Linked DNA regions of Pelodiscus sinensis. The protein of the gene in region 3 interacts with the protein of the main gene of each other region in a biochemical or structural test. Links are inferred from orthologs where the notes say so. Each region holds a gene or a part of one and is shown on either strand. Other genes may lie near its edges. The genes, in order: PLAT, FAM20C and FGA.

What was found.
Region 1: the proteins of FGA (region 3) and PLAT form a complex in vitro, tested with the Homo sapiens proteins (2 studies listed by BioGRID). The link is inferred for Pelodiscus sinensis from reciprocal best matches to the Homo sapiens genes FGA and PLAT.
Region 2: of the proteins of FGA (region 3) and FAM20C, one has a biochemical effect on the other in vitro, tested with the Homo sapiens proteins (2 studies listed by IntAct). The link is inferred for Pelodiscus sinensis from reciprocal best matches to the Homo sapiens genes FGA and FAM20C.

The regions. Positions count from the first base shown.
Region 1 is NW_027465860.1:425,812-436,634, reverse strand, and holds the start of PLAT (tissue-type plasminogen activator), read right to left. Parts: upstream 4,745-10,823; 5' UTR 4,595-4,744; intron 4,472-4,594; exon of another isoform or gene 2,528-4,471; intron 1,196-2,527; exon of another isoform or gene 1,183-1,195; 5' UTR 1,136-1,182; coding exon 1,070-1,135; intron 1-1,069. UniProt on the Homo sapiens protein: Converts the abundant, but inactive, zymogen plasminogen to plasmin by hydrolyzing a single Arg-Val bond in plasminogen.
Region 2 is NC_134726.1:25,373,474-25,384,517, forward strand, and holds the start of FAM20C (extracellular serine/threonine protein kinase FAM20C), read left to right. Parts: upstream 1-5,827; 5' UTR 5,828-6,982; coding exon 6,983-7,539; intron 7,540-9,815; coding exon 9,816-9,994; intron 9,995-11,044. UniProt on the Homo sapiens protein: Golgi serine/threonine protein kinase that phosphorylates secretory pathway proteins within Ser-x-Glu/pSer motifs and plays a key role in biomineralization of bones and teeth.
Region 3 is NC_134715.1:56,884,082-56,894,280, forward strand, and holds the start of FGA (fibrinogen alpha chain), read right to left. Parts: upstream 4,574-10,199; 5' UTR 4,559-4,573; coding exon 4,494-4,558; intron 1,919-4,493; coding exon 1,795-1,918; intron 1-1,794. UniProt on the Homo sapiens protein: Cleaved by the protease thrombin to yield monomers which, together with fibrinogen beta (FGB) and fibrinogen gamma (FGG), polymerize to form an insoluble fibrin matrix. Fibrin has a major function in hemostasis as one of the primary components of blood clots.

The DNA.
Region 1 (10,823 bases), on a different chromosome or scaffold from region 3:
CCGGACATGGGAATTTGGGCTTGGGGGTAGGGCTGTTGCCTCGAGGCAGAGGGAAAATCAAGTGCTGCTGTTAAATAATATTGGACAGAAATACTTTGACAAAGAACATAAGAACGGCCATAATGGGTCAGAGCAAAGGTCCATCTAGCCCAGTATCCTGTCTGCCGACAGTGGCCAATACCAGATGCCCCAGAGGGAAGGATCACAACAGGTAATCCTCACTTGATCCATCCTGTCACCCTTGTCACCCACTTCCAGAGAAAAAGAGGTTAGGGACACCATTCCTACCCATCCTGGCTAATAGCAATTGGTGGACCTAACCTCCATGAATCTATCTAGCTCTTTTTGAACCAGTTAAAGTTCTAGCCTTCACTGCATCCTCTGGCAAGTAGTTCCACAGGTTGACTGTGCGCTGAGAGAAGAAAAACTTCCTTTTGTTTGTTTTAAACCTGCTGCCTATTAATTTCATTTGGTGACCCCTAGTTCTTATATTGTGGGAATAAATAAATAACTTTTCCTGATTCACTTTTTTCCACACTAGTCAGGATTTTATAGACCTCTATCATATCCCCCCTTAGTCTCCTCTTTTCTAAGTAGAAAAGTACAAGTCTTTTTAATCTCTCTTCAGATGGGACCCGTTCCAAAGCCCAAATCATTTCTGTTGCCCTTTTCTGAACCTTTTCCAATGCCAAGATATCTTTTTTGAGATGAGGTGACCACATCTGTACACAATGATATTTTCTCTTATTCTCTATCCCTTTTTTCTACACTAGGCCAAATTTCAGAAAAGCCTCCTCTTTCGGAAGACCCCTTCTTCCTCATGGAAGGAGGAAGACAGGGCTTCTGAAAGTGTGCGTCTGCTATTCTACAGAAAAAAGCAGAAGAGCAGATGCGTTCCCTGGCCGCAGTCCCATAGTGTAGACGTAGCCCCACTGTGTAACTCTGCCCCTTCTTCTAACCAGGAAAAAACACTGAGGACTCTGAAGAGAGGAGAGTGCTGTCGGGACAGGTTAGGACCCCCAGAGTGCCAGGGATCTCCCAGAATGGGGTTGGCATGGTGACCTCTTACCTGGCATTGCAGAGTGGTGATGATGGCTGTCATCACCAAGTAGAGATATAGGACTTTCCCTTCCATTCTCTGGTTTTTTCAGCGTTGCCTTCAGATCTCAGAATCTAAAAAAACTAAACAGAAAAGCTGAGCAAGGAGCTGACAGTGTGAGCAGGGGTTAATATTGTCAGAGTGAAAAAGGGCTTTTACCCACACAGCTCCCATTAATTTCCAGAGGCCAGGAAGCTGGCAGGGAGTGGCAGTGTCCCTGAGTTGGCTCTGCAATTTGTTTGAGAGCCTCGGAGTCTTGCTATAATTTGGAAGGGCCCTGACAGTCTGGAACCGGACCCACTTCACACATTGGCAGTGGGTGAGAAGAGAAAGGAAAGGAGAGGGGTTTTCAGGGGTTGCAGATCTGGGAGGCAAAATAAAGAAATAAATTAAATAAGATGAAGCTGCATCACTGAAGGGTGCACATTAAGTACTAAGTTACTAAAGTTGCTGCTGCTCTCAGGTTATGAGATACCCCCTTTGTTTCTCCTGATCACTTTAAGCACTGCCACCTCACATAGGCAAATGGCAGAAACCAAGTTCCAGGGGTTGGCACTGAGCAGTGCCTGTCTGGCACTGAGCAGTGCCTGTCTGGCACTGCTGGGGGGATGACTTCACAAGAGGCAAGCCCAGTTTACTTCACAGCAGGCTGTGGGAATCCAAGGGTGTGCAGTGGCAGCAGACAAGGCTGGACTCCCACAAAAGAAATTGTGACTCCTGGATTTGGCTAATAAAACAGCATCTCTAGAGTCACCAAAAAGAGGCATCTGAAAGAGCAGGAGTCTCTAGTTGGAGTGTCTGCTCTGGGGCACAAGGGATACCTGTGCTGAGCAAGAACAGTCTGGAGGTCCCAAGTCTGTGTGAGAGCTTGCAGGTATTAGTACAGTTTTTGCATGGAATCAGAAGCGTGACTGCTCCCTCCCTAACCCACATACCCAAAGAATAATGCTGCCTGCTGGTGGATCATTAGCACAGGGTGAGGGGAATGCTGAAGAGCCTGCTGGGTATGCGTGAGGAGTATGGCCAGCATTAACAAATGTAAAGCAATAGAGCTGTTTCTCAGAATTGTAATCTCCACTGCCTGTGGACTTCATTTCCACTATCAGCCGTGCAGGGAGTGGAAAGTAGGTTGGTTGACTATAATGCTAGTTGTGGTCTGGCACTCCATCTCACTTGTTCCTTGACTCACTTTCCTATAGTCAAAACAGTCCCACATTCCCTTTCATCTCCCTCAGACAAAGCTCCATCCCACCCTTCTGAGAAATCTTTACTACTCGCAACAGTAACCTTGGGAACCACTCTGTTCCTCACGGTTCATTAGCTCATCAGATGTGACTGAGACAAGAGTGGACTTAGACCTCTGCCTGCCTCCATCTTTTCAAGTGAAGACGTTAATTTCTTTCTCTCCTTCCCAGTCCTCTTTCTTACCTGGTAGTGAACTCCTTGGCGCTTCCCTGACCGCTGCTCATTACAGCAGGAAAATCCAGGCCCTGACTCAGCTGTCTTGTGTGTTCCCTGCCTCCTTACCAAACAGCATTGCTCTGACCTCTCTAGCTCTACTCCCTCGTGGCTCCTCTGCCAAACCCCCTCCCCCAGCCTGTTCATAAACAAAAGAGCGACGGCCCGTTTGGCCTCTCTCCTTTATAGCAGAGAGGACCTAGAGCAGGGAATTCGATATTGTTATATCCTGTGTATTAAACTCTTGGAGACTGCTCTGAAAGGAGACTCTTCCATTTAAAAGCCCCAGAACTACTTAAAGTAAAAATTAAATATAACACAAATTCTGTCTTAATTAGTCAGTTTTTAATGTATCTAGTCTACTATACAGTCTAGTAGCATTGACCGGCAGCCCATAGCCTTGAATTTTCTTTTTACCAGATAGTGCTTCCTGTATCTCATAGATGTCCTCTGATTTCTTTGTTCCAATAACCCTTGCTATTCATTCCAGGCTAGCGCCTCTCTTATACACAGAGAGGAGTGCATAGTCCCTTAGCCGTAACTGTAGCAGGCCTGATGTCCAGTGTGCCAGAAGTCTCGAAACTGATGTTTTCCAGATATATGTAGTTAGTCTTACCCCTGGTCTTGGCTGTGCCTTACCCAGTCGGGGTGTTCTGAATGATAAGCCCTATCTAGGAAAGCACATGGATTTCTGAAGCTATGAGACTGTTTACATGGATAGAAGCAGAGACCTAGCAATAGTCCTTTTCACCTAGCTGCATCCCCAGATCCACGTACATGGATCCTGGTGCACATACCCGACAGAGCAGTTCGGGAGTTAGTGCTCTTCATGCGCATGATGTACATCATTCATTACCAATCTGAAAATAGTGTAGCAAAGGGATACTGCATTCTGCAGACGTGGCTACATCTCTGCAGATGCCTCAGAAACAAGAAACAAGAATAATCTGTCTGTCACTTGTTCAATGTGACTGATTTAAGCATCACTGCTCTCCTCAGGAGTAGGTAAATTAGTATCACTCCAATTCTGAAGGAGGGGAACATGAGGCTCAGGGAGGTGAAGTGACTCACCCAAGGGCACATCGGCAGTCAGAGGCAGAACAGAGATGAAAAGTCAGGAGTTCTGGTTCTGTGATTATCAGAACCCGTTGCCTTACTCTGAATTTGGAACCAGTTGCTGTTTGCCATTTGTGCTGACACGTCTCTAAGCTGATTTATCAGAAGGGCCTTAAAGCTCCCCTCCTGCATTCAGAAGTAATGCACTTCTTCTGTTTACTGCCTGCTGAGAGGAGTTGCAGTGCCCCAATCCAGTACTCAGCATTGTAGAGCCCAGTTTCTTACTGTTTCTTCCTGTCTGCTACCTTCCTAGCCAGGGCATTGATATGTAGATAATATCCCATTATCTTCATTGTCTATGAAATACACCATTCCCTTGACACCTCAGAAGTCTGATTTTTCCCCTTTGGAAATTGTCCTCAAGATTTTCTATAGCTGTGCTTGCATTTGGGAGGAGGAAGAAGCCTACAGAGCACACAGAGGCCCCTCTGTCACCCCTACTAAGACAAGAATCCTGAAGAGAAATGTGTGATCTGACCCTCTCATGAACCCCACAAAGGATAATTTCACAACTGGCACACTGGTCTTTTGTTGCTATTGGGGGTTTGTGAGCTCTGTTCTTTTTATTTATCACTATTCTTTTATTTTTCTCTGTGTAGGGGCCTCCTACCCACAAGCAGTTCGGTGCCAGGGCTGGAAGTCCTTTAGCTGCTCCATTTCCCCCTGACTTGGGTTAGCAGGCTTTCCAGAGAAAACAGGAAAGCACCATCTGTCCCCAACTTCACAGTTCTCCCCAGAGGCTACAAAGAAACAGCAAAGTTAGATTCCACATTCCGAAGCACCGCATATTGTGCTAATTAATTACAAAGTATTAATATCAGGAATGTGACGTTATTTATCCTTGCTCTATTCTTATAGCAGCACTAAGCCCTAGGGAGAGAGGGAAAGGATCTGCACAGACAAGTGGAGAGTAACACATACCTTCACTTCTCTTCTGTATTCTGCGGATGGGCTCCTTTCGGTGCAGCCTGGATGTGCTTTGAATACATCTAAGCTCTGATCTCTCTAAACAGCTCCAGTGTCCTTCTTAAAATGCCAGTCAAGGGGGTGGAGCCTATACAGGGGGTAGGGACTTTTTCACCCAGGGGAAAGGATACAGTGATGGCTATGGTGATGAGGTCAGGATAGGCTGGGCTAGCTTTTTCCAAAGATGAGGGGGAGGAAGTGTCTGATGAAGTCAACAAGCAGATCCTGGCTCTCATCCAGTCAGTATTATTCATGGTCCTGATCAGAAAGCAGTCAGTGACTCCAGGACTTTTCTTTTTGGTATCATTGCCTTTTCCTCTGAGCCCTTTGGAGTGTGAGCAACAAATCAGATAACAAGTGCCACTTACAAAGAAAACCTTCATTGTGGTTCCAAGAACAGGGGGACAGCATCGCTCACACCATGCCCCCAGAGTTACAAATGTTCATTATTTTCTCAGGCCACCAGCTTAACTGGTGCTGTGCAAACTGTAGAGAAAGAGCATGTCACGCCTTCAAGGAACGTCCCACGCTAAACAGGCAGATGATGTAGTTCAGGCGTGTAATGCGTCAGGAATCCGTCTCTGAGTGGTACCTAGTCACATCACTAGAAAAAGATAGTGGAACAAAATCTGACCTGGCAGCCATAGAGAGCACAGAACAGTGTAAGGGGAAGAGGACAGGGCAGGACATGGTATGAGGGGGTATGTCTACACTACAAAGTTAGTTCAAACTAACGGACGTTAGTTCGAACTTAATTCGAACTAACGGAGCGCTTAGTTCGAACTAGGTAAACCTCATTTTACGAGGATTAAGCCTAGTTCGAACTAGCTAGTTCGAATGAAGGGCTGTGTAGACCCTTAATTTGAACTAGTGGGAGGCTAGCCCTTCCCAGCTTGCCCTGGTGGCCACTCTGGCCAACACCAGGGAAACTCTATTGCCCCCCTCCCTGCCCCGGAGCCCTTAAAGGGCCACGGGCTGGCTACACAGTTTGTGCCAGTAGCAAGGCTGCCAGCACCCAGCCAGCAGACCCTGCACCTGCCACAACATGAGCCAGCCACCCGAGGACACCCAGCCCTCCACTGCTCCCCAGGACCAGCCTGGCGGGTCCCAGGAGCCTGCCCAGGGACGCAAGAGGCGGGCACCCGCTTGGTCAAGTGCAGAGATCGTGGACCTCATCGAGGTTTGGGGGGAAGCCTCCAATGTCCACGATCTCCGCACTAGCCACAGGAACGCGGCCGTCTACGGACGCATGGCTGCCAGTCTGGCCGCCAGGGGCCACCAGCACAGCCGGGAGCAGGTGCGCTGCAAGATCAAAGACCTGCGGCAGTCCTACTCCCGGGCCTGCCAGCCAGGGGCTGACCCGGGGGCCTGCCCCCACTTCCACGCCCTGGACCGCCTCCTGGGGGCTCATGCCGTCCCTGCCCCCCGGGACATGATAGACCCCGGGGCAAAGGGACCGCTCTAGGAGACGGAGGAGGAGGAGGAGGAGGGCTCTGAGAGCCAGGAGCCTGCCGCCAGCCTGCCCAAGACCCGGGACCCCCGAGGTACCCCACAGAGCCACTCGCCTGTGTCGTCCGAGGCCGGGGAGGCATCCACCTGTGAGTACCATCGTGCTCCCCTTATGTGTACGGGGGGCTGGGGCGAGAGGGAGCCCCGGGACCATGTGCCTGGGCCTTACCCACCACGGAGCAGCAGCTGGGGATCCTGCAGGGGCCCTGGCCTTGCAGAGGGGAGCTGGGTTTCACACACCTGGGCCCCTGGGGTAATTGACCGCTGGTCTTGTTGCACCACAGCCGCAGCACCTGGGCCTGCAGGGCGCACCACCCCGCCTGCAGCAGCTGCCCGTGACCGGGCCAGCAGGAGAGCCAGGAACCAGGAGGACTACCAGAGGCGGCACCTCCAGTTCCTGGAGCAACAGCTCCGTCTCCAGGACCACTGGGTCCAGGAGGACCTGAGGCTGCACCGGAGGAGTTTGGAGGCCCTGGAGGAGGAGGGCCGTGCCCTGCGAGGCCACCTCCAGAGCCTGCTGGACCGCTTCCCAATTCCTCCTGCTCCTGCTCTCCCTGCTCCCTCTGCTGCTCCCCCTGCTCCCCCTGCCCCCCAGCTCCCCCTGCTCCCCCAGCTCCCTCTCCTGCTCCCGCTCCTGCTTCTTCCACACCCTCCGTCCCTCCTGCCCCACCCTCCACAACCATTCCCCACCGATGCCCCCGGATCCTCAGTGTGGCGAGACGGGAGAGGCAGCCGGACTCCCACCCCTGAGCTTTCCTTTCCCTTCCTCCCTTCCCTCCCCTTCCAGCTCCCTCGTCCCAGGTTTCCCCCTCCCCTCTCCCACCCTCATTCCTCCCTCCCTCCACCCCAGTTATGTGAAATAAACAGACGTTTTTGGTTGAAAAACAGGTGTCTTTATTTTACAGTAGGTAGGAAGGGGAAAGGGGAAGGGGGGTAGGGTGGAAGAAGGCCCCAGTGGGGCATGCAAGGGAGAGGTCAGTTCTCCTCCTCCACCTGGAAGCTCTCCTACAGGGCTTCCCGGATCCGGACGGCCCCCCGCTGGGCTTCCCGGACGGCGGCGGTGCGGGGCTGACCATAGTGTCCAGCCATGCGGTCAGCCTCAGCCATCCATGCTGGCAGGAAAGCCTCCCCCTTTCGCTTACACAAATTGTGGAGCACACAACATGCTGCCACCACGGGAGGGATGTTGTGCTCGGCCAGATCCAGACGGGTGAGGAGGCATCAAAAGCGGGCTTTCAGTCGCCCGAAGGCCCCCTCCACCACGATGCGGGCCCTGGTCAGCCTGGCATTGAAGGCCTGGCGGGAGGGATTGAGGTGCCCCGTGTAGGGCTTCATCAGCCACGGCTGCAGTGGGTAGGCGGCATCCCCCACCAGGCACACGGGCATGTCCACGTCCCCGACCCTGATGTGGCGGTCGGGGAAGAAGGTCCCGTCCTGCAGCCGCTGGCACACGGAGGAGTTGCGGTACACCCGGGCATCGTGCGCTTTGCCGGACCAGCCCACATTAATGTCCGTGAACTGTCCCCGGTGGTCACACACGGCCTGCAGGATCACAGAGAAGTACCCCTTGCGGTTCACGTACCGGGACGCCTGATGTTCCGGGGCACGGATGGGGATGTGCGTCCCATCGATGGCCCCCCCGCAGTTGGGGAAACCGAGGGCACCGAATCCCCGGATGATGGCGTCCGGGTCGGCGAGGCGGACCACCCTGCGGAGCAGCACCCAGTTGATGGCCTTGACCACCTGCGGAGAGAGACAAAGCAAAGCGCCAATCAGTGGGGCGCCCGGGTGGCTGGGAGCGTTCGTGCCCTGGCAGTGCCCCGCGCCCCACTCCTGGAAGCAACCCCCCTGGTGGCGTGTAGTATGGCCGGGACAGACCGACCCCTCCGGTGTGGGGTGCGTTCGCCTCCTCCCGCCCCCCCTTTGTCCCTGGGGCAGCCCATCCCCTCCTCCCGCCCCCCCTTTGTCCCTGGGGCAGCCCATCCCCTCCTCGCAGCCTCCCTCCCCCTCCGGTGCGGTGGCCGACGAGTGCCATACCTGCATAAGCACCGCTCCGACGGTGGATCTCCCCACACCGAACTGGTTCCCGATGGATTGGTAGCTGTCCGGCGTGGAGAGCTTCCAGAGGGCAATGGCCACCCGCTTCTGGAGGGGGATGGCGGGCCTCATGCGAGTGTCCCTTCTGCGCAGGGCAGGGGTGAGCCACTCGCAGAGCTCCAGGAAGGTGTCCCTCCTCATCCTGAAGTTCTGGGTCCACTGTCGATCCTCCCAGCGCTCCAGGACGATGTGGTCCCACCAGTCGGTGCTGGTGTCCAGACGCCAGACGCGGCGGGGCACGCCTGTGCCGGGGCGCCACCGCGGCTCCTCCACGGCCCCCAGGGCGGCCAGGCGGAGGGGCGGGGGCTGACGTGCACCAGGAGGTGCCAGGCAGCCTCGAGCCATTGCTGGCAGGCTTGCAGCAGCAAGTCCAGAAAGTGCACCAGAAGGTGCAGGGCGAGCTGTGGCTCCATGTTGCCACCTGCGGCGGCGTCCCCGAAGGGAAGCACCGACACAGACGGGCACAGAGACCGACGCTTTGCTGTCCCTCGGTGAGGTTGGCAAGCAAGCAGGAAAAGCTGAGAACCGGCTGTCCAGGGGGGTCCCTTTAAGCTCGAGCCTAAGATAGCCTCAGACAGCAGCCACACAAAGCAACTACTGACCTGATGCCCTGCCAGAACCGGTTTCAGCTGCCCTTAAATGCCCCCCTGCATCCAATCAGTGAGGACGCGCTAGTTCAAATTAGCAAAACGCTAATTCGAACTAGTTTTTAGTTCTAGACGCGTTAGTTCGAATTAGCGCTGTAGTGTAGACGTACCCAGGGAGAACTGCAAGGAGGTGTAGTGTAGATAAAGGCCTCAACAAAATCCCCTAGTCCAAACACAGCCACTTCTTAGAATGTTGAATCTAGGTTTGAATGTTGCCATCTGAGGCCCTGTGCTGTGTATAATGTGCTCCTAGTATCTGACATGAGGGGCCCGGTGCACCCAACCTTCCTCCCTAGTAGTGCATATTATGCCCTCTCAAATGGCAGGTGCTTCTTGGGGCAGGGACTCTGTCTTACATTTCTGTGCAGGGCCATGCTGCTGCTGATGCTCTTAAGAGAAGCTACCTGATTTTAACAGCAGCAGAGGGCTGAGTTCTTATTGTCCACTTCCTTTGTTAATTGCGAGGGTGTAGGGGAGCCTGGACAGCCCTGCCTTGACAATAAACGGTGGTGTCTGCTTTGTCCACAGTGCGGATCCCTAAAAAGCAAAACTCAGGCCTGTCTCAAGTCTGGTGCATGTAGCACGCAGGCATGGTTTGGGAAGGAGAAGCTGTGCGAGGCAGGAATGTTTTGAATAAAAATGCACAGGGCTTGACAAGTGGCGGTGAGCCCCACTCGCAGCCGCGCAGTTTGGCACGCTGCGCATGCGCTGATCGTGCTGCGGCGCCGTGCCAGCTTAAAGTCTACTCGCCCCAGGCGAGTAGATTGACTAATCTGTCGAGCCTTGACAATGCAGATTAAGCAGGGTATACAAGACCACGTCAAAAACGCATGACAAGAAACCTTGTATAGGTACTCCTGTTTCTGATAAGCAAAAATTACAGGTGCAGCCGTGAAACTGTCGTCTACACACATGCAGCAACATCCTGAGTAGCAGGGTGTACCCCAAATAGGGTATTGGGCATTTTACATAACTTATACATCAGCAATTGGTAAATATTATTAGAACGACCAAGTCTCGCCTTGCTATAAAATGGGCTTAGTAAGAACAATCGATGGGAGGGAATGGGCAGGATGGACCCACAGGTCCTGCTCAATTTAGCTAGAAGTAAATAGGTCCTTCACGCTCGTGACCCAGTACGAGGCGTTCCAACATGTGGGAATCAAAGGAACCTCGAGCTCCTGCCTGGTATTGTAGATAGCAAACGGGTAAAGTGTAAGTGAACTAGGCTTTGTTGTTGTATTATAGTTGATCTTCTATTAATTGCTTTTGCGTTGTTTTGTGTTGTATTAATTGCTTTAGAATGTATAGTATTTAAAGTTTAAATTGGATAGTAATTGTTTTAAGGCTTGTAAAACTTAAACAACTGTATTAACTGCTTAAAGCTTGCAATAAATAGGAAAGTGGCTAAGGATCCCTAGAGTGTCCTGGTTTCCCTTGGCTCTAAAATAAATCAAACCACAGGACATAGGGTCTTTGTATACACTGTATCTTTCACACACACTCCTTTGCTTTTCTCCTTGCTCTCCACAGATTCTTGCTGCTTCCTCTGAGACCCTCCAGTGTCTTATTCTTCAGCCTTAGGCTTTGTCCACATGTTCTTGCAGCAGCGTGACCATGGCAAGTGTGCTGGAGAGAGCTCTCCCAACACTCCAGGCAAACCACCTCCACATGGCAAGTAGCTAACAGCACTGTAGCGTTGTCCAAACTGGTGCTTTACAATCTTGTAACTTACTGAGCTTGAGGTGGGGGAGGGGTGTTTTTCACACTCCTGATCGAGAAAGTTACAGCACAGTAACTTGCCATTGTAGACAAGCCTCTAATGTAGCTCCCCACGACTGTCTGTCAACAGGTCACTGGGAGGTGGTCTTAGGGGAATCATTGACACTCAGGGACTAAATTATCTGGGGGGCTCATTAGGGCTCTTGGGA
Region 2 (11,044 bases), on a different chromosome or scaffold from region 3:
GCATTAGTTTCCTCTTATTCCACATTTCTGGTCATTGTCCAAATGCAGAAGGCTGCTTGGCCCATCCAAGAATCCAGCCCATCTGCTAGAGATAAATGATTGTGATATAGATGATCCAAAGGAGAATAATTTGTGCACAACTTCTTGCAGGGTACTAGCTATGAAAACTTCTGATACTGCCCACACAACCTGTGCCATAATCATGGTCTCCTTTGAACAGATGGTGCATGCAAATGCATCACAAAGGTAAAGTTATTACAAAGTTGCTAGAGTTCCTTGCACTGTGTACAACAAGCATGACATCACTGGCTGCAAGAAGTTCGCTTAGCGTCAGGCGTTTAACTTTGATTAACTTTAGGTGGACAATATTTAAGAGTTTTCCATCTGATCTCATAAGCATATGTACACTCTTGACACTAAATGAAAAACATGACCAAGCAGCAGAGAGAAAAATATACTAAAGACTGTTGGTGGTGTGACAGCCTGTCACTGGTCGGGGGGCAGGGCGGCCAGAACCCCGGTCCCCAGGAGACTGGCGCCGGGGAACCGGCTCTCCGGTGTTCCCCCAGCTCGAGCGGGTGGCGGCGGCGGGCGGGGGAACTCCCCCCGCGCCTGCGCCGGCTACGCCGTGCCGACTCCTTCCCCGCGTCCCCGGACGGTGGGGGCGGATCAGCTGGGCGGCGGGACGCTGCACGCCAGCGTGCCCGGAAGGGGCGGGGTCCCAGGGAGCGGCGGATACGGCGGGCCAGCTCAAAAGGGCTGGCCGCCGGCGGAGAAGGAGGCAGGCTCCCGGTGGGAGCACAGGAGCCGAGCCGGAGGCAGGACGGAGCCCGGGCAGCATACCCCGCGGCTGCCAGCCCGGCGCTGGGCCCGGGGTCTTCAGGACAGCCACTGCCCCTGGCGGTCCCTCAGCCCATCGGCAGACGGAGGGCGTACCCCACTGCGTCGCGCCCAACAGGAGCGGGACGCACGGAGGCAGAACAGCGCCACAGAGCGATCCCCCGAGGCTACATCGGGAAGTGAGACACCACGAGACCCCGAACCAGGGTAGGTGTGAATGCGGCGGGCCCGATTGGCGGGCGCCGCCCGGGGGGAGGAAGGAGTCCGGGGCAGGGCGCTTTTGGCGACCTTGGGTGGACGAGTTTTGGAGGGATTAGCTCCCTCGTCCACCGCGTCGGGGCATTAGCAAGCCCCGGCGCCTAGGGCCCTGGGCTGGGACCCGGAGAGAGGGCGGGACCGGGTCCCCCTCCCTCCCTGAAGGGAGTATACTACTCCCCGCGGCTTGAGCGGCGAGCCGTTGTAAGTCACGACCCCGCAAGGGGAAACGCTGAACCAGGGGCCGGCTGCCCCACCCCGCATAGGCGGGTGACTGTCGCCGGGTTCGCTGACCCCCCCTTCCTCCTGGGAGGGGGTGATCGCACCCATTACCGGGAGTTCCCCGTTGGGGGCCCTGAGGCCAACTAGGCACAAAAAGGGGGCACGAGGGTTCGCTGACCCCCCCTCTTGGAGCAAGAGGGGGTGATCGCACCCTGAAACCCCCACAGTGGCAAAATACATCCCTGTTTGTAACACTATGTATTTCAAAGATATCACATAGGTCACCATCATAGTGGACTGTTATCTTCATGCTCTCTTGGAAGGATTGAATCAGACTGAGAAGTGGTGTTCTCTGTAAGCTGGGCGTTTGGGCGGCCACCTAGGAGAGACTGAAATGCTGCCCAGCTGACTAACAGAGTACCGTTAGCCACCCACAGCCAGATGCATGTGTTTCTATTGGTGATACACATCTGTGCATACCTTGGTGCACATAACAAAATATATTCCACACATGGGTAAAAAATAGAGGGAACATTGCAGATAAGGCTTTGGGTGTAACCAGTTTTCTTAACAACTGGGAGAAACGTTTTCTGCTGACCAGGTCTGATCTGCGGAGAGAGGTTTTATTTGTTCTTGACACTTTTCTTGCAGTTGCCTTAGTGCAGGGGTGGGGAACCTTTCTTGGGTTGGGGGCTGCTGACCCACAGAAAAATCAGTCAAGGGCAGCACACAGAAAACCCTCACTGATGTGGTCCCCAAATGAGGAGGAAGACACTCCCCACATTCCCCTCATACACCAGAGCCTGAGCGGGGGACACAACCTAGTATATTTTATGTGCTCCAGCCCCATGGTGGGAAGCAGGGAGGTTGGAGTGCTAGCACTGACTCCCCAATGCAGGGGGGGCTCTGAGCTTCCGTGCCCAGATCCAAGCAAGCCAGGGGTCATCTGGCCCATGAACCTGAGGTTCCCCACCCCTGCCTTAGAGCAAAGACTATCTCAATAGTTCATCTATTAGCACAGATGCCGCCCTGTTGTCTTTTGAGAATGACATCGACAAATGCCTTGTGAGTAACACAAAGGAGATGGGTTCCTCTCTGGATAGACAGGGTTCTGAGTATCATTGCCTGGGAACACCAAGAAACCCTTGACTTTTTTATCCATTTTATTCCATGGACTAAAGATACGAATTAAAGATCTCCTTTGGACAGCCCTGCTGAGTCATCCCAAAGATGAAAGATCTAAGCACGAAAGGCACAGAGCAACTCAAAGGGGAAATGAGTGCACTCGGAGCCTATAGACTCCAAAAGGTGAAGGCGTAGTCCAGCACGTAGAATGGGGCCATGAACCAAGAGGAAGTAGTAGGTCCCCTAAAGGTCAGATGAAGCTGAGAAAGGCATGATGTCAGGGACGACGGATATCCTCCTTCCCTCATAAGAACAGCCCAGGACATACAGAAGTGAGTGAGATAAGCAGTAACTATCGGTATTTCCTTGTTCCTGAGGACAGCATTCCCTTTACTCTACCTCAGAATGAGCAGTAGCAGGGCTAAGCTACAACCATAAAGGACCTGAAGAATAGTGTTTAAAGAATCCCACCTCTCTGTTCTTATTCAGACCCATTAAAAGCGCCCACATTTAATTAGGAGTCTAAGATGAAGAGACTGTTGTCCATAGTGGGAACTCTCTTAAAGCAATTAGCAGTGGATTTAGTAAAATACAACCCTGCTGGAAGTTGCATCAGAAAGCTTCAAAGCAGAGGCTGCTTATGTTGGTGACAATATTGATATCTCGATGGACCTGAGTCAACAAACACTTACACGTGGGTGTAATTTCAAGCATGTGGGATCTCACATAACTCACTACAGAACCGGGGCCTGTAACTGAAAGGTGATGAAAGAATTAAAACAGTTCTCTTTTACTAATGACTCCAGAGAACGCTGGGCCTGTCAAGATCAGACTGAAACCAGAGGACTGCTGGAAACCTCAGTGAGTATTTAAAATAAAAGGAGTTCTGGCCCTAAACCGCTAAGTGGCAACAGATCACTTGAAAATCTTTTCCACTGAAGAGCAAAACACCCATGGCGGGAGATGATGAGCTGTCTAAGAGGAGCCCAAATGGAGCACCTCTGGGGCACTGGTGCCTTGAGTCGCATTCTGGCACCTGCAGGCTGCAGAGACTAGAGATGCCCATGGTGCTGAAGAGTCTGTTGCAGCTCATGATAGAGCTAAGGGAGAAGGGGAATCTTCATGCCCCACCATCCTCTGCAGGGTTGCACTCACGAGAAACACAAACCTTTCAAAGTATGGACATTCATATTCAGAGGCTGAGATAGCTCCGTTACCCTAACTCTCCTGCCATCGTGCTCCTGCCCTCCCCCTGCTCCCCAGTGCCTTTACTTACACCATGGGCTACAAATCACCAGATACTCATTTCAAAACATGATTTGCCATCATGGTCTGAGGGTGACAGATTCCACTGAATATCATGGAGATAATGTGATCCAGCTGGGCTTGTGGAGGGCAGCCTAAGGCAAGCCGTGGGCAGTGCCAGTGGAACTGTGGCTTAGCAGATCTAAAAGTAAATCCCAGGAGGTATAACCTGGATTCAGTTATTTAAACCCCATTACATCCCTGTGAGATAGGTAAGTACTATTTGTCCCCAGATGGCTAAATGAAGCATTGAGAGGTCTACGTGCTTTGCCCAACATCTCTGTGGCAAAGTTCAGGAATTCCAACTCTCAGTGGGAATTCTGCCTGAATGAGGACAGCACAGCAGGATGTAACCCAGAATGTATATCCCGTTTGTATTGTACTCGCTGTGTCAACTCCCCCCCCCCCCCCCCCACACACACACACCATGGCTTTAGGTATTGTTCTTTGAAAACTGATAATGCCCAGTTCCCAGCCTGAGTTCAATACTCTTGACTTCAATAAGATTTTCTGAAAGACCGATCTACCCTTGCCCGCATTTTGTAGCAACGGGGTGAACTGTCTACCAAACATTATGCTCCATACTCCACATGCAAAGTGAGAAATTGTCACGGCACAGCTGGTGATGTGGCAGCAAGGCATTAAAAACGTTCTATGCAAATGACGACTCCAGTTCTGCAAGAGGGTGCATGAGGCCAGACCACTGCCCTCACTCCAAGCCCACTGGCGTCAACAGGGTGATGCAAAAGCAGAGCAGCATGCCTGCCTTGAACAGCTTGCAGGATCAGGGCCTATATAGCCTTGCATTTTTCAGGGTCATTTACCACTTTTGAAAACAAAAGTGGCCATGTTGTGAAAGCACAGGTGTAAGTTTAATGCAAGCACAAAACATGACTGCAATATATCGTGACGGCTTAACAGTCTTACAATGAGGGTTCAGAGTGTGATGCATTTGTAGCACACATTGCAGGTCCAAATATGTAGGTACTGCTTTTATGCGTTCCTTGTAAAGACAATAAATGGGGGATATGGGTTTTAACTTATTACTATATTCATTACTTTTCAGTATCACCAGGAGCCTTCGACTAATATCAAGGCCCTGTTGTTCAACCCCGATTAAGAAACAGCCCCTACCCCCAAGACAAGGCAAGAAGAATATGATTATTTCCAGTTTATGCATGGAGAATAGAGGCAAAGAGAGAATGAAGACCCAGATCCTCCCACGAACTTAAGCTAACTCCTAATGTTAATGGGATCTAAATGCCTGCATCAAAGTACTTGTCCTAATTGGCCTGCTAAAGCCAGGGTTGTGAGTTCAATCCTTGAGGGGGCTGTTTAGGCAAATCTGTCAGGGCTGGTACTTGGTCCTACTATGAGGGCAGGGGACTGGACTCCATGACCTTTCAAGGTCCTTTTCAGCTCTATGAGATGGTATGGTATATCTCCATATTAAAAGATATGAACAAAATCCACAGCAGAGCCATCAAGGGATCCCAAGTCTCAATCCAGTGCTTTAACCACTCTCCATCTCCTCTGAATTATCTGATTGGAAACTCTGGGTCAGTTTTCAGAATCTCTCCTGGCTGGAGGACAATATTGGCAGCCTAATCTCCTTTTTCATCCGGCTATATTGTAAGCATGTGCAGCTAATGTAACCAGACGGGTGGATTGTTACACTGCAACACCTTTAAAGATTGTTACGGTCGGCAGCATCCAGATTCAAAATCAAGATTATTCATCTGTTTCTTAGAAGGAAGAGAAGCCGAGTTTTACGTTTTGACCTTGTTATACACGGGTGACATGGGGAGGGAAAGCAGTAGATTTGCTTCCGAAAATGATCTCTCCTCTCCAGACAATGACATAGCAGAAATCATGTCCCTAAGCCTAGACAGCCAGACTGTACTAATACTTTGCAATGTTATTAGCATAGATTCCAACCCCCCCCCCCCCCAAAAAAAACCCTTTGAGAAACAGACGCCCTCTCCTTGCCCCAGTTGGAGCTGCAGCAGAATGGGGAGGGGGTGGGAGGAAAGGGGAGACCGAAAGAAAGAAAAGCTTGTGGCTGAGGTTTTCCTGTTACTATCATTGTAACGTTTATTTAGCCAATCTCTTAACTATGACGTCTGGATCCATGGCTTGCTCATAATATTTAACACACCCACTAAAGGCTGGAGTTGCAGCGCTACTAGTCCAACCAGTCAGTGTAGCTGAAAGGGGTTTTCACTCTGCACCTGCCAAAGACCTTTCTCCCTCTTTCTCTGCCTCTCCCTTTCTCTCGCAAGGCAGATCTGTACGACCCCGCAGAGATCAAAGACAGCACCTCCCTCGCTAAGAAGAACCGCTGTTGTTTTGTGCTAGTTTCTTTCCTCTTCTCTCTCTCCTTCGGTGCGTGCTTTACCTTGCCGTAGCGCCATCGGGCAGTTTTGCAACCCCAAAACAAAACAAAATAACAAAAAGCCAAACCAAAACAACTCTCCCCTCCCCTCCCAAAAAAACCCCCGCGGAGCCCCAGCCTGGATCCAGCCAGCACACTGAGTTGGACCCTAGTTGACTACTCATCTCTCCCCAGCGCTGGATGCGATGGATGAAGACTCTGGACACAGGCTAAGAAAAGCATTTTCCAGCCCATGTTTTTAAACAGTCTGGCGGAGGAGCGCGTGTGTCCCACGGCTGCATCACTGGTCAATTTCAAAGGATGGGGGGCAGCGTTTCCAGCACCTCGAAATATGATGGATGATTTTTGCTGCCGCTGAACGCCTTTCTCTCTTTAAACAGGTTTTATTATAATTTTTATTCCCCATCTTAATGCCCCCCCCCTTTTCCCCATCAGAGCTTCAGAGGTTGGTTTCTCTTCAATCATCCCTTTTTCTTTCCCCTTGTGCTCCCTGTCATCATCAGCCTCAAGGAAAAGACCGGGGCAATTGGGCAGACGGGTTTAGACGCTGAACTGCTGCTGGCTTTGTGTTCCCATTGATGTGCAAAGCCTTGACTCCGTGCGGTGGGGATTTTCGTCTGGCCGAGTCCTGGATGAGACTCGACCAAGAGGAACGAGGACCGAGCGCTTGCAGAATATTTACTTTCTTCGCTTGCCGGGTTGATTTGTTCTCCGAGCAGGGGGGCAAAAAAGACAAAACACATCGAGACTCGAGCTTTTTCTGTGAAAGGGCTCCTTTAAATATTTAAATCACCCCTTTGCTTCCCCCCCCTTTATAATTTATTAGAAGCCCCCTTGACAATGAAGATGATTTTAGTGCGGAGATTCAGGGTGCTGATCCTGATGGTGTTTTTGATCGCCTGCACCATGCACATCATGATCGATCTGCTCCCCAAGCTGGAGAAGCGAGCGGCCAGGACCGAGGGCCAGGCGGGCTGCTCGTGCGCTCAGCCCCCGAGCGAGGAGGCGCAGGGCTGGGGGAAGCCGCGAGCGAAGGGCGGCTCGGAAGCCGGCTGGCCTAACAAGCACACGCTGCGGATCCTGCAGGATTTCAGCAGCGACCCCGGCTCCAACCTCACCTCGCACTCGCTGGAGAAGCTCGGCGCGGCCTCGGAGAAAGCCGAAGCTTTTAAGAGGCTGGAACAAAGCGCCAGGAGCCAGGATCTGGGGCACAAGCCGCTCATCCAAGATGGGAGCCCGGGCGCCCAGCCCCTGGGGAAGGGGTACTCCAAGCTGGCGGCTCTCTTCGAGCAGCCCCTGTACAAGATCGCCACGCCGGAGCTGGCGGAGGAGGATGTCTTGTTCAATGTCAACAGCGACATCCGATTTAACCCGAAAGCGGCCGAGAACCAGGACTGGTAAGTAGGGCAGGCGGGGGGAGGGGAGGCAGGGTGTGAGCCTCCACTCTGGGCCCCCAACGGGCTGTCACTGAGAGCAAAGGGGAGTCATGCCACCGGCCGCGCCCGCGACGAAACACAGCACCCCCGGAGAGCACGTTTCTCTCCCCAGACCCAGCAGCAAGGGGATTTGGGTTATGCTCATGTGGCATTCCCCTGAAGACTGGCAACACTGCTCTGGGTCTGGAGAGAGGTAACTAGCGAAGCGATGGATGCAGGAGCCACTGGCGTGGGACCAGTGGATCTGGGTTCTTCTTCTTAATTACAGTACATTTAAAAATATTATACAGTCTGCAGGAAACAGTGTGGCTGCTGCTTGCACACCGGGTTTGAAAAGGCACTGCAGCTCACTTTACATTTCAGCGTTAAAAAAGGAAATGACAGCTCTTGCCTGAATGCAGAATTATAAGTGAGATAAGCAGCTGTTATAAATAGTAGCCAATGTGTATGTTAAGACTTGGATTTTGGTGGTGGTTGTTTTTTAAATGACCACATATAGTTTAAGAAGCACCGCTGTTTCTTATTAAAACCCTGAAGAGAGTAAAAAGATCATTACATAGAAAACAAGAGATTATATGTGTCAATGGTGGTATGTCAAAGCCGGTAGCTGGAAATAAAATTAATATGTTTATGTCGGTAGAGGAATATAGGTTCTAACAAGTCATTTACAAGACTGGAGTAAGAGCTATGTTAGATTAAATGAAAGCTTCCGTGATATAATTCAGGTGTCACCAAGACAATAACAAAATAACATGTTTAAACTAGGCTTGTTATTTTCCCCCAAGCCAACAAAATAAAGAACACAAGACAGAGCAGTAAAATATTAACTTCTCTCAGAAGCAGAGAGATTGACTTCAAAGGTCATAAAACCGTCCATAATATACAGATATAAATGGGATTTCAACCTTCAGGGTCTGACTTTTGACACAGCATTTTCTGCTCTGAATTATTTTTTGACATTCTAAAGCCCAGTGCTTCTATCCTTAACTTTTAATGCATTTGGTTTCATCTATGAATTGCCTGCCCCCACTGCTTAGAAACTTGAATGGATGAAAAATCAAAAGGCTTGTCTCTAATACAACAGCACCCTCTTTCAAACACAGTGACACTGTAATGTTTAAACAGCTTCATTGTACCATGCAAAAACTCTGTCAAGCGATAGAGCAGCCAGCCTGGATTTGAATCTTTAATGATGTTGTATAAATGTTTTCATTTTCAACCTCAAGTTTCTATGAATCACAAAGACCCTTAATGTAGCATAATTAAAATCAAACTTAAAACTCACTAGCTTAGAAAACTTCCAATTTCTCTGGAAAATCTGTCATCAGTATATGTCAGTAATGTAGGGAATATACTCCAGAAATGGCTAAAGATACAATTGACTCCTGCAATCAAGGCATGTGATGGCAATGTGATCTACAATACAACTGCTGTTCTACTTGTTTCTACTAGTTACTGCCCACAAGATTTAAATAATTAAAATCAAATTTAGCAGTTTACATTAATTCATACAATTCTTTGTTATAACAATAGCTTAAAGCTAAGCAAACTTTCTTGCATACATGGGAAATAGAATTTCCATTTAGAAAGTAGTCAAAAGTTATTCCACTTCCTTTTGATCCCATAGGAATAATAAAACAAACAGATTCTGAATGTAATATCACAATTATCAAATAATTTCAGGATCTGTTCATTGTTAAATAAAGATGTGGGGAACATTTATATTTTTGTTTCAAAATTGTCTAAGTTGTTTTTGACAACTCTAAAATAAATCTTAAAGACTGAGTTTTCTGAACATTGTACCCTGGATTTAAAAAAAAACCATAAAACAAAATGTACACAGCTACCTTGAATTAAATCAACTTTTTTGGAGTTTTAGAACAGTGCTATGCAATGTAACACTGAGTTCAACATTTTTTTATATTTTATAAGGGTCAGATCCAATGTCTGTTGCAGTCAATGGGAGCTTTGCCACTGACTTTAGTGGTCTTTGGATCAAGTACTAATAATTTAGGTCACAATTCTGCTCCCATTGAGATCAACAGCAAAGCTACCAATGGCTTCTCTAGAAATGGAAGCAGGCCTTTAATCCACAGCAGGGACAAACGGAAAGCCTTCTCTCACATCTGTATTGTTTGCTTTTCATATCATTGCATTTCAAAGCCCTCTTTTAAGTTGCTTTGTGGAGAACCAGCAGAAAAAATATTAATACTTCTCTCTCTCTACTTTTGTGGTAGGCAAAATGAAGGTAATGAAGATGAGGAATTTTTACCCACTGGAGAAACATCTGTAGATTCCTACCCAAACTGGTTAAAATTCCACATTGGTATTAATCGCTATGAGTTATATTCCAGACACAATCCTGTAATTGAGGCTTTGCTACAAGACCTGGTCTCCCAGAAGATAACCAGTGTTGGTAGGTTCAGATACATATTTTTATGACTATTTACTTATTCAAGTCCTCATTGCTGTTTTAATATTAATGACTATTTCCCATTACTTCTATCTGATGTTCCTAAAGCATTGCTTCCTGGCTACATTCAAGTCTGCATTTATTTTCCTTGTTAAATATGAAAGAGGGTTTATAAAGATACTTTGCCAGTTTCATGGTGCATGCATGTTTGAAAAGCCGTTTGTATTGCTGTGGATGCTAGCAAGATTCTAGCAGCAAAAGCATATTAGGTCAGATTTATCCCTGAGGTAAATCTACTGACTTCTGAGGGGTTACAGTGACAACACACTAGAGTATTGCTTGTTAAAATGTAAAAAAAAAAATGATTTTTTCAAAAGTCTGATTTTTTGTATTTTAATTTTCTCAACAAAGAGTTTGCTGTTAAAAAAAAATCCAGAGTGGGGGGAGGGAATGAAGAGCAACATGTTCATCTGCAGAAGACATTTAAAGCATGAAGCCACACAATGCAGTGTCTCTATACATCTTATCAGGCTGCACTGTGCTCCAGTACTGCTGTAGCTTTAAGCCCCAAAGCTGCAGTGGCTGTATTTGCAGGTCTACCACTGATTTCAAAGAGAGTGAAACAAGTACCAGGGTAGCAGGATAGGGTCCATAGTTCAACTCTGTTTATTCTGTTTATAAACCCATGATTGAGATGATACCATGTTGACCCCTCAGTACATGTAATGATCTGGAACACATGGAAGTATTTTCTATGAAGTCGATTAATGATAGTTTTAGGTACCCTTGCCTCTGGCTTTATAGTTACCAACAAAAGAAACCAAAAACAGGGCCCTGATGTTCTAAACCAGTTAATGTAATTTTATTTTGAGTGGCTGGCAACTGTAATTTGTCAGGACGTTTTTATGTGCCTTGAGGCACATACAGAATTAGGCAATTTCTATTACACCAGCTTCCTAAGTAGTCTTCACCTTTTCACAAAGATGAAATCATAGAAGCTCTACAAAAGGGTTGATAATCAGTATCTCTATGAGCAGATTAGGTCTCCGGGCT
Region 3 (10,199 bases):
TGAAGCACTAAAATGGGTAACCTAGGGAGGTGATGGACTCCTTAGAGGCTTTTAAGGCCAGACTTGACAAAGCCCTGACTGGAATGGGTTGATCCTGCTTTGAACAGGGGGTTGGACTAGATGAATCTCCTGAGGTCTCTTTCAACCTTAATCTTCTTATGATTCTATGAAATAAGTTTCTCGTTTGAATGTAGTTAAAGCAGATGATTATGGGATTTGAATGGTGCTTAAGATATTTTAATAACAGAATGATTAAGCTTGCAATTAATATCATATGTTTTCATAATACAACTGCTTTAAAGTGAGTTGATAGTCATTTAGTTTTCATGGTGGTTTTTAATTGTGTGGCTCAAAATCAGATGTTAACTATAAACTTATAACACTTGTTAGACATAGCTTGAAAAGCACAGGAAAATAACAATAACAACAACAGTAACAACAGCAATAACATGATATTGGTGGTTGAAAGAGGAAATAAACAGAATAAGATTTTATATAATCCGGAAAGAGGAAAAAGTCCTTGTTCACTAACTAATTCTACATGAAAATGTCATAAAGTTTTTTGACCATGCATACTAATCTTTGCTCAGAAAAGTGGGCATGGCAATATTTTTATTTCTCTAAGAGATGGGACAGTTTTTCTGAGAGGTATCAAGTGGCACTGGTCTCCTTTGAACACATTACCAATTATCAAAGTAGAATAAAAATATATTGTCAGAGATGGCAAAGATTTTAGCTTCCAGAGCCAGCTCCTCAACTAGTGTCAACTGGGGTAAAGTCTTTAAAATCAACAGACTAATGCTGAATTTACACCAGCTAAGGATCTGCCACATATATATCTTTAAGCTAATGAGCAAAAAAAAAAAGTTCCTAACTATGCTTCATAGGCTTTTAAATATTGATTTGACATACAACTACATGAAAGAATGTAATGGCTCCAAGTTCACTCAGACTATTAAACCAGATCACCCCACACACTCTGATTTCTTCAAAAAGAATAATAAGGAAATATGTATATAAGAATTTACCATAGTAATATAGGCGGAATCTTAAACTAGCCAACAAGAGTGTTCAATTAGCATTGACGAAGTGGATCTGATCAAGTGGGTCTTTGCCCACGAAAGCTTATGCTCCAATACATCTGTTAGTCTATAAGGTGCCACAGGACTTCTTGTTGTTCAATTAGCATTGTTGGGAGTTAAGGCTACCACTCTCTTTATTGAAAAAACAATAACTCCTGAGCTCCCTTTCAGCCTGATTATGTTGCCACTGAAATCAATTGCAACATTCTTGTTCTATGCATATGTACTTTAGCAAGGATGGGACCAAATTCTGCCTCATTTACACCCAGAGAATCTCAATGACAGGAACTGGAATCCAGGGATGTAACTGAGAGTAGAATCTGGCTAATAATATCTAAAATCCCACACTGTTTGGCAACCTTTCTATCTAGGTGCAGTGGAATGGGTTAAAGACTTACAATCTCACCTCTGAATCTACTGCTTATTGGTCATTTAGCCTCTTTGCCTTGACAGATACTTTAAGCAAAATTCATCTCAAGTGCTTCTTGAGGAACCAGACAGACAATAAAATGCAGAAGAGACTCAAGAGGGAAACGCCGGTGATGAAGTGGTGAGACTTGTGTTCATGTGTACGTGTGTGAATTTTTCAAGCTACCTCATAACCAAAGAGAATTTTGTCAGTTTGCTGTGTGACTGTTCATTCAATAAAAATGCCCCTTTTTAAAAAGAGAAAGCCAAACTATCAAAAGAATCAAATAAAGTAAAATCATACCCAGGCTATGCTGAGGCACAGCCACATGCACAAGATCCTCAGCGGTATCATCTTCAGTGGCAGGGTGAGGAGGAGTCTGACAGAAAGGATACGTTCCACTTGTTTTTTTTGCTTCATTTTAAACCTTCATGGATAGCTTAGATTAATCATTATGTTCCCTTCTGTTTGCAGAGTTACATGCAACCCACCCCCAGTTGGTTACCTGAGGCCTCTTGCACAAGCGCCTGAGTTTGTTTGCTCTAGATAAATTTGTGCAATGCCAGTCGGGGGTGGAAGTGGAGGGAGTGGGAGGAAGGAACACACATTCCAGGAAAGTCTACAGCTTTAGTTTCTGATAACTAAATTTTGGAATAACATGCATGTAAAAGATCCAATAATACTTAACCACTGGAAGATATCTATGTTGTAAATCTGGTATTTAAATAGCATGACTAAGCAGTCAAAAAATCACCAAATTGTTCCTACTTGTATGATCACACTCCATGGACATCAAGTCAGAGAGACTACTTAGTGCAGTAAAAGAAGCAAGATCATAGTCTAATAATTGTTAATTCAAGAACTATATGGTCATCAAAATAAACCAGTTACTGAGAGATATTTTTATGGAAGACCCATGCTCAGCTCTGCCAATTTCATGATTCTGTGTCAGTCTCAGACAACATTCACTCTGAAGTCAAATAAAGCCAGAAGTCATCTCCTATAGGGCAGACCCAACAAAGAAAGCAACAGAACACCACTAGCCATTATCTACAACCCCCAACTAAAACTTCTCCTTCACATCATCAATAAACTACAACCTATCAGAGATGATGATCCCTCACTCTCACAGACGTTGGGAGGTTGGCCAGTCCTCACTTACAGACAGCCCCCCGAGCAGAGGCAAATATTCACCAACTTCACACCCCACAACAGAAACACTAATCTAGGAACCTATCCCTGAAACAAACCCCATTGCCAATTCTATCCACACATTTATCCTAGTGACACCATCAGAAAACCTAACAACATCAGCTATACCATCAAAGGCTCATTCACGTGCATATCTACTAATGTGATATATGCCATCATGTGCCAACAATGCCATGTATATTGGACAAACCAGACAGTCTCTACAGATGTTAAAGAGTGCTATTCACACATTTTTATAATTGAACTGTGTTTGGTTAGTATGAAATACATTTGTCCCAGGGTTTATGTTCTTTGGACACTAAAATATAATTAAAAATTAAAAAGAAAAGAAAACTTCAGTATGAAATGCTTTACATGGTTTTCAACTTGCACTAGTAGATGTAAGAAATATGACTGAGTAAATCTTCCTTGAGTAAGCATCCCGTGTCCTGTTTTCCACTTTATTCCTTTGAAATAAACATTGATTTATAAACATCAATTGTACAGCAGCTTGGTGCCTCTACATAGCTGGGAGCAGAAACAGAGGATAAAGCTGTTTTCTAATGACACTTGCTTGTATGTAGACCATGCACTTTAAGGTCCAGGCACTTCTAAAGGAAAATGTGAAGAACAGAAAATATAAGAACAGTCCTATATTATGAGATAGGATTTGGTGGTAGTAGGGTTATTTCTCTCAAGTCATTTTTTTTTCTTCTGGGGAAACAGGGATTGGTTTAGTCTTGTTTAATATCACTGATTTAATGGCAATATAGTGCATACTTTCATAATTTTAATGAAGTGAGTGCTTTAGCATAGGAGAAATATTTTTAGAATGAACACACCCTACCTAAAATCCTATGACATGGTGACAATTTCAATTATATCAATATGTTTGATCATACCATTATACAAGAAACTAGTTAAACGAATAACCTGGTAACACAAAAAGTTCTTTCAACATATCTTTTTATTCAAAATGTGTTAGTCTATGAAGGTTCCGTTGCATTATTAAAGAGCTTTGGTTGTCAGGCAAAAGAAAATATGTTTGTGATGGGTCAGGAGGGACACCCTTCAGATTGTCACCTGACGTGCTGAGACACCACTGAGTCTGTTTCCTCTGACAGCCTGGACACCCTATAACCCTCTTTTGTTGAGCTTAGCTCTTGGCCTGCTTCAGTTGAGACACAGGGACAGGGCAAAACCCCAACGCTGCAGACACAGTCTGAAAGCAGTACAGTATGGGTGCATCTACACTGCACCCTTAACTCAAAATGAACTACGCAATCTGAGCTACACACATTGCATAGCTTATTTCAAGTTAATTTCAAAATATCTTATTTTGTAATTTGGCGTTGTCTACACAATGCCAAATTTTGTAATAAACTACTATTCTGAAACATCCCTTAATCCTCATGAAATGAGGTTTTCAAGGACGTCAGAATAGTGAGCCCGTTAGATTTCAAAATAACACAGAATAGCTGTTTTGGGGATACCGGAGGTATCCTGAAATAGCGTCACAGTGTAGACGTACCCTGTGAGACCTTTCCACAGCAATCAAGTATACAGTCCCTCTGAGATCTAAACTAAATCTGTCTTAGGCTGTGTAGAGATATATACAGTGTAAGCTAATGACATTCGCCCTCTTTCTCAAGGTAAAGAGAGATATGCACAGGTTCCTTCCCCCTCCTCTGATAGTAATTATTTTCACTAGGTTAATTGCAGACGGAACAAAGTAGATAACTGAGCAAAATAAACAAACATGCAGGCTAAGATAAATTCAGTAAACAAACTAATTATATGTAAGATCTCACCCTAAATGTGGTTCAAATAGTCTTCCCTCACAGGCCAGGCACCCTTCTAGCCTGGGCCCAATCATTCCCTCAGTTCATACTTAGTTGTTTCCAACAGTTATCTTGGTTGAGGTAGCCAGGGAGGACTGAAAACTAAGATTACCTCACTCCCCACCCTTAAATAGGATTTAAGGTGGGAGTCCTTTGTTTCAAGTTTGACTCACACCCAGCTTCTCATGGAAAAGTACAGAAATCAATATGGGTTCCAGTATTTTGTAGGCAGTATTCCAGCAGGCAGCCTGGCTCTTACTACATTTAAACTGCAGAGCTGCAGGGTGAGTAGTTCTGGGACCTGGCGCAAGCCGGGACTGCTTCAGTCCCAGCTCATGCTGAGTCCAGACTGCTGCAACTCTGCCTTTCAAATGTAGTGAGAGCTGCTTGGATCCGACGCGAGCAAGGACTACTTCAGTCCTGGCTTGCACCGGATCCCGTGCTGCACCTCTGTGGCTCTTACTATATTTAAAAGGCAGAGCTGCAGGGCCACTGTGCCTCTGCTTCCCCACCTCTGCCCCCGCCCCTCCCCGCACTGCAGAGACAGTGCTAGGGGAAACCGGCTTTTAAGCCAGATCTCACCAGTACTGGCTCCTGCTCCCTCCCAGATATAGAGGCAGCAAGGGGGGGAGGGATGCAAGTAGCCTAGGCTTATTGGGTAGTTGACTATTCTACTACTCTTTTATATCCCTATCCTAGGCTATTTATTCCAGTGCTTAACCACCCTGAAGATTAGGAAGTTTTTCCTAATGTCCAATCTATACCTCCCTTGCTGCAATTTAAGACCATTGCTTCTTGTCCTATTATCAGACACTGAGGAGACTAATTTTTCTCTTTGTAACATCCTTTTAGGAACTTGAAAGATTCTATCATGTGCCCTCTCAGTCCTCTCTTTTCCAAACTGAACAAATCCTGTCCTTTCAGTCTTCCCTCATAGGTCATGTTTTCTAGACCTTTAATTATTTTTGTTGATCTTCTCTGGACCTTCTCCAGTTTCTCCACATCTTTCCTGAAATGTGGTGCCCAGAACTTGACACAATACTCCAGATGAGGCTTAGTCAGCACAGAGTAGAGCGGAAGAATGACTTCTCATATCCTGCTTACAATACTTCCATTACATGTCTCTGCAGCCATTCTTCATGATCTGACTCTCATGTTCCAGAAAGCTCTTTTACAGTTCATTGTCTCTTGCTGATGAGCCATCAGCACTATGACCTCTTTCATTGTTGTACCTGAAGCGTCAGCAGTGCGTAACACCCAAAGCAGTAAATATGAAATTACAGATACCCAGGTCAATATTCCTAACTTAATCTACAAAAATGATACATATGTACAAATGGGGATAATCAGTAAATTATAGCCTTTCCAATAACATTTTACACAAGCCATCTTGCATTCAGCATATCTGAGTTATGATATATCTGAGTTATGGCATATTCATATCATATGCATATTTCATATGCTTTTACTGGTTCACCTTTCTTTACTTTTTTTTTAGGGCTCTGAAATCTTATAGACTTCTGTTATTAAAATCTGGTCCATGTGGAGGTTGCTAAAGAATTAATAAGGATGGTTCTTCAGTTCACATGAAATTGTATATTGATCAGAGACATGAGCATACTTTAAATACTGGCAGAGTTTATAGATTCTGATGGTGAACAACTGTGCTTGTGGTATTTATAAACTTCATTGGCTGAACCTCCCTACTGGATTAAAGAACAGGCTATGTCTCAGGCTATGTCTACACTCCTGGGGGACGGGAGGGAGGGTTCGGAAAAAGGTATGCAAATTGCAAACCGCAATTTGCATACATTTTTCCGATTCTTTTTTCGGAAGAGGCTTTTCCAGCATTTGGCCCCGTGTAGATGGGGCCAAATGTCTGAAAAAACTCCTTTTTCAGAAGAGCCCGTGTTCCTCATAAAATGAGGAATACAGAGCCTCCAAAAGAGCACGTCTGCTCTTCTGAAATTTTTTTTGGAAGAGCCGACGCATTCCCTGGATGCAGCAGATTTTTTTCTCCATAGCATAGACATAGCCTCAGAGGCAGGCTGAGCCCAGGAATGAGGTTGATTCTGGAGGGAAGTTTGAGTGAGCACTGAGGGGTAGGACTCACAGGCAAAGGAGAGTGGGGAGGGGACATTGCAGGGGCCAGAAGATGTGAGTTGAGGGCTGTGGGAGAAGAGCTGCAAGAAAACTGGAGAATTGCCAACGTTATGAAGTTCTTGAAACAGAGGCATAGGAATTGCACCAGAAAGACTGTTGACCATTGGTAGGCATCTTGGACATGGTGACCCTGGAGTGGAGGGCTGAATGGTTGCCACATTTTAACCTGCTTTACTTCAGGTTGAAATTTGTCTGATACACTATGTCTGGAAGCAGACCTAGTGTTGGACTCCAAGAAGGACAACACCCTTTGCCTGGGTTAGTGAAGTGATCATCAAGCTGATCCATGGTGAAGAAAATGTGCAAAACAAATCCCTGTTGTCTTTCTTTCTGTTTGATTTATTATTTTTAAATTAATTGGGTCCTAATGCTACATCTGGTAAAATTATCTATTGAAGTGTAGTCTGTAGATAAGAGTAATATGATTAAATAGTCTTTTATAGCTTCAGCAGTGAATGTGTAAAATGATCCTTAAACTGGAGTTTCATAAATTTCAGGTCAGTCTATAATGATTGTATTGGCAGATTACTTCAGAAAAATATATGTAAGGATCCTCATGCATAAACATGACATCACATATAAATAGACTCCTTAGGCCTAGATCTGTAAAGGCATTTTGGCATTATTGTGCTTGGTGTTGCAACATCTAACTGATTAAGGACCTAAACCATATTTTCAAAACAATATAGGCACTTAGAGATGCAAATCCCACAGACTAAAAATCGGATTTTGGCCCCTAAATCCATTTTGAAAATGAGAGTTAGGCTGTGAAATGAATGAGGTATTGCAATGCTGGGCACAGCAATTCTAAAATACCATTAAAATTATGGACCTTATCTTCTAACTTCAGCATGATATGATTAATGGTGCACTCTCACTTTGAATCCTCTTCAGTTTTGTTCCTTCTGTCTCAGAAGTAACATAACAACACTAGAATAGAAAAGACATAGAGAAAAGCAAAATAGTTAAAGCCAGGAAAGAAAACACTAAAAGGATTTTGACAATTTGATGTCAAGAACTGATAAATAGAGGCCTTATCCAAAATCCATTGAGGTCCATGGAGTCTCCAAGGCAATATCTAGACTACATGCCTCTTTTGAAAAAGAGCATCTAGACTGCAACCACTTCTTTAGAAAAAGCGAGCTGCTTTTTCGAAAGAGAGCACCCAGGCAGTCTGGATGCTCTCTTTTGAAAAAGCTCTGTTTGCATTCAATAATGCCTTTTTTCAAAAGAGCACTTTTGAAAAAAGGTGTTATTCCTCATAAAATGAGGTTTACCACAGTTGAAAAAACCACCGCATTCTTTCAATTTAATTTCGAAATAACACACCGGCAGTCTAGACGCAGGGGAAGTTTTTTAGAAAAAAAGGCCACTCTTTCTGAAAAAACCCTGTAGTCTAGACACACCCCAATTGTCTTCAGTGAGGTCTGGATTCGGCTCAGAGACCACAATACAGAGAAAAATTCATAAAAATACACAAAATAAAACTTATGTGCAAAGATCTCTAAGGCTGCAAAACAAAGCACTCAATAATTTTTAGAGAAACATCATTCAGATAGCCTGTGCAGTCTTCATTTGGCGGCTCCTTTGTGAGTTTGCATTAAGATATAGTCTTTAACTATCTGATCACATGCTATTTGCCCCCTCCCCTCCTCCTCTTGCAGCATGCCAGCCTCATTCGGTATGCAGAACTGACAGGGCTCAAGAGCTCATATTTGATATTTTTTTATCCTCATCATTCAGTGCATGGCTCTGCTCTTTTTTATAGCACACTTTTCAAATCCTCATGGGCTTTCTTGTGGGACTCATCCGTACAGTAAATGAGTGCTTCAAAAACTTAAAGGCAACCGCAATTTGCGTATCTTTTTCTGCTTTTCTTCCGAAAGAGGCTTTTCCGACATATGGCCTGTCTACATGGGGCCAAATGTCAGGAAAAAACCCTCTTTCAGAACATCCCTTCTTCCCCGTAAAACGAGGTTTGCTGAAAAAATGCTTCTGCTTCTCCAAAATGCTTTTTAGAAAAGCAGATGCATTCCTTGGGCACGGCAGCTGTTCCAGGATACCTCCGGTACCCTGGAAAAGCTCTGTAGTATAACATACCCTAAGTCAGAGATGAGGACCTAGAGACATTTAAGCCCCGGCTTGATGAAGCCCTGTCTGGGGAGATTTATTTGGGATTGGCCCTGCTTTTATCAGGGGGTTAACTCGATGATCTCCTGAGGTCTTCCAACCCTACAATTCTATGACTCTCTGATTCTAAGGCACAGGCTCTTAAAGCCACAAAGATATGCAGATGCCTCCAGGGTTCTCTGGGAGTCTAAGTTGAGCATTTACATGCCACTGATATTTTCAAAACCACTTTTCAGTTGTTGCCCAAGTCTGCAGGGCCCTGGGTGGCTCAGATGTTGAAGTGAAGTTCCCAAAACCACCTAAGCACAGACACCATCCCACAGTATCCATAGCTCTGGCAGCCCCAAAGCAAGTCTTAAACTAGTGATCCCACTGCATATCTCACTAGCAGGGTCAGATCCCAAAAGCATACTCAGAGCACAACTAAGACCTAATAGAGAAGTCACAGAAGACAGTTAGCAGCCAGGAATGGTTTGAGTGTGTGTATGTGCGTGCGTGTATGCGTGTGTGGGGGGGTGTCTTAGGCACTCTAGTGGCTAGGGCAGTCACTGGGATGTGGAGGACCCCAGTTCTCCCTCCCAAGTGAGTGCCCTAATCAGCAGAGTGTTTGTTATTCTGCCGTTGGTCTCTGTCAGTCTCTCTTATTGTGAACCAGTTCTGCTTTGTATATTAAGTTAAATGTGATTTGGCCAGGAGAAAATGAGACTGCTTCTACAGCTAGCAGTTAGGACACTCCCCTAGGATATAGATTTAAGTCCCTGTTCCAAATCAAGGCAGAATATGGATTTAATTAAACTCAGGTCTTCACAGCCAAGGCCGATACAAGGGCTGGGCAAGCGAGACACTTGCCCCAAGTGCATCACAATCAGGGGCGCAAAGATGCAGTAAGCATAAAATAATAAGCTGTAAAAGTAAAGAGCTCTGCAAAAGTAAAGTGTGCTAACCTAAGGAGTGGGAAAGCATAATAATATTTGCCGTGGGTGCAAAAATACCTAATTATGGCGCTGTTCACAGCCCACCTGGGCTTGTCTACTGGTCTATTACTGAGGCAGGCTGGCTCTCCTGTCTGGGTTTCAGGCATGGGTTACGTAAGAGGCTGATCTATCTAGGCAACTAACTCAAGGGGTATGTCTACACTGTAGAGGTTTTTTTCAGAAAAACAGCCGGGTTTTTTTTTAAAAAAACTTCACTTATGTCCACACTGCAATCACGTTCTTTTGAAAAAAAAAAATGAAAAGAACAGAGGTGTTTTTCAAACATTGGTAATCCTCTTTCTACGAGGAAGAAGCCTTTTTGCAAAAGAGCTCTTTTGGAAAAAGGCGTGTGTGGACGGGGAAGAGGGAGTTCTTTCGAAAGAAGAAGGAAGAGGAAAAAGCACAAGTG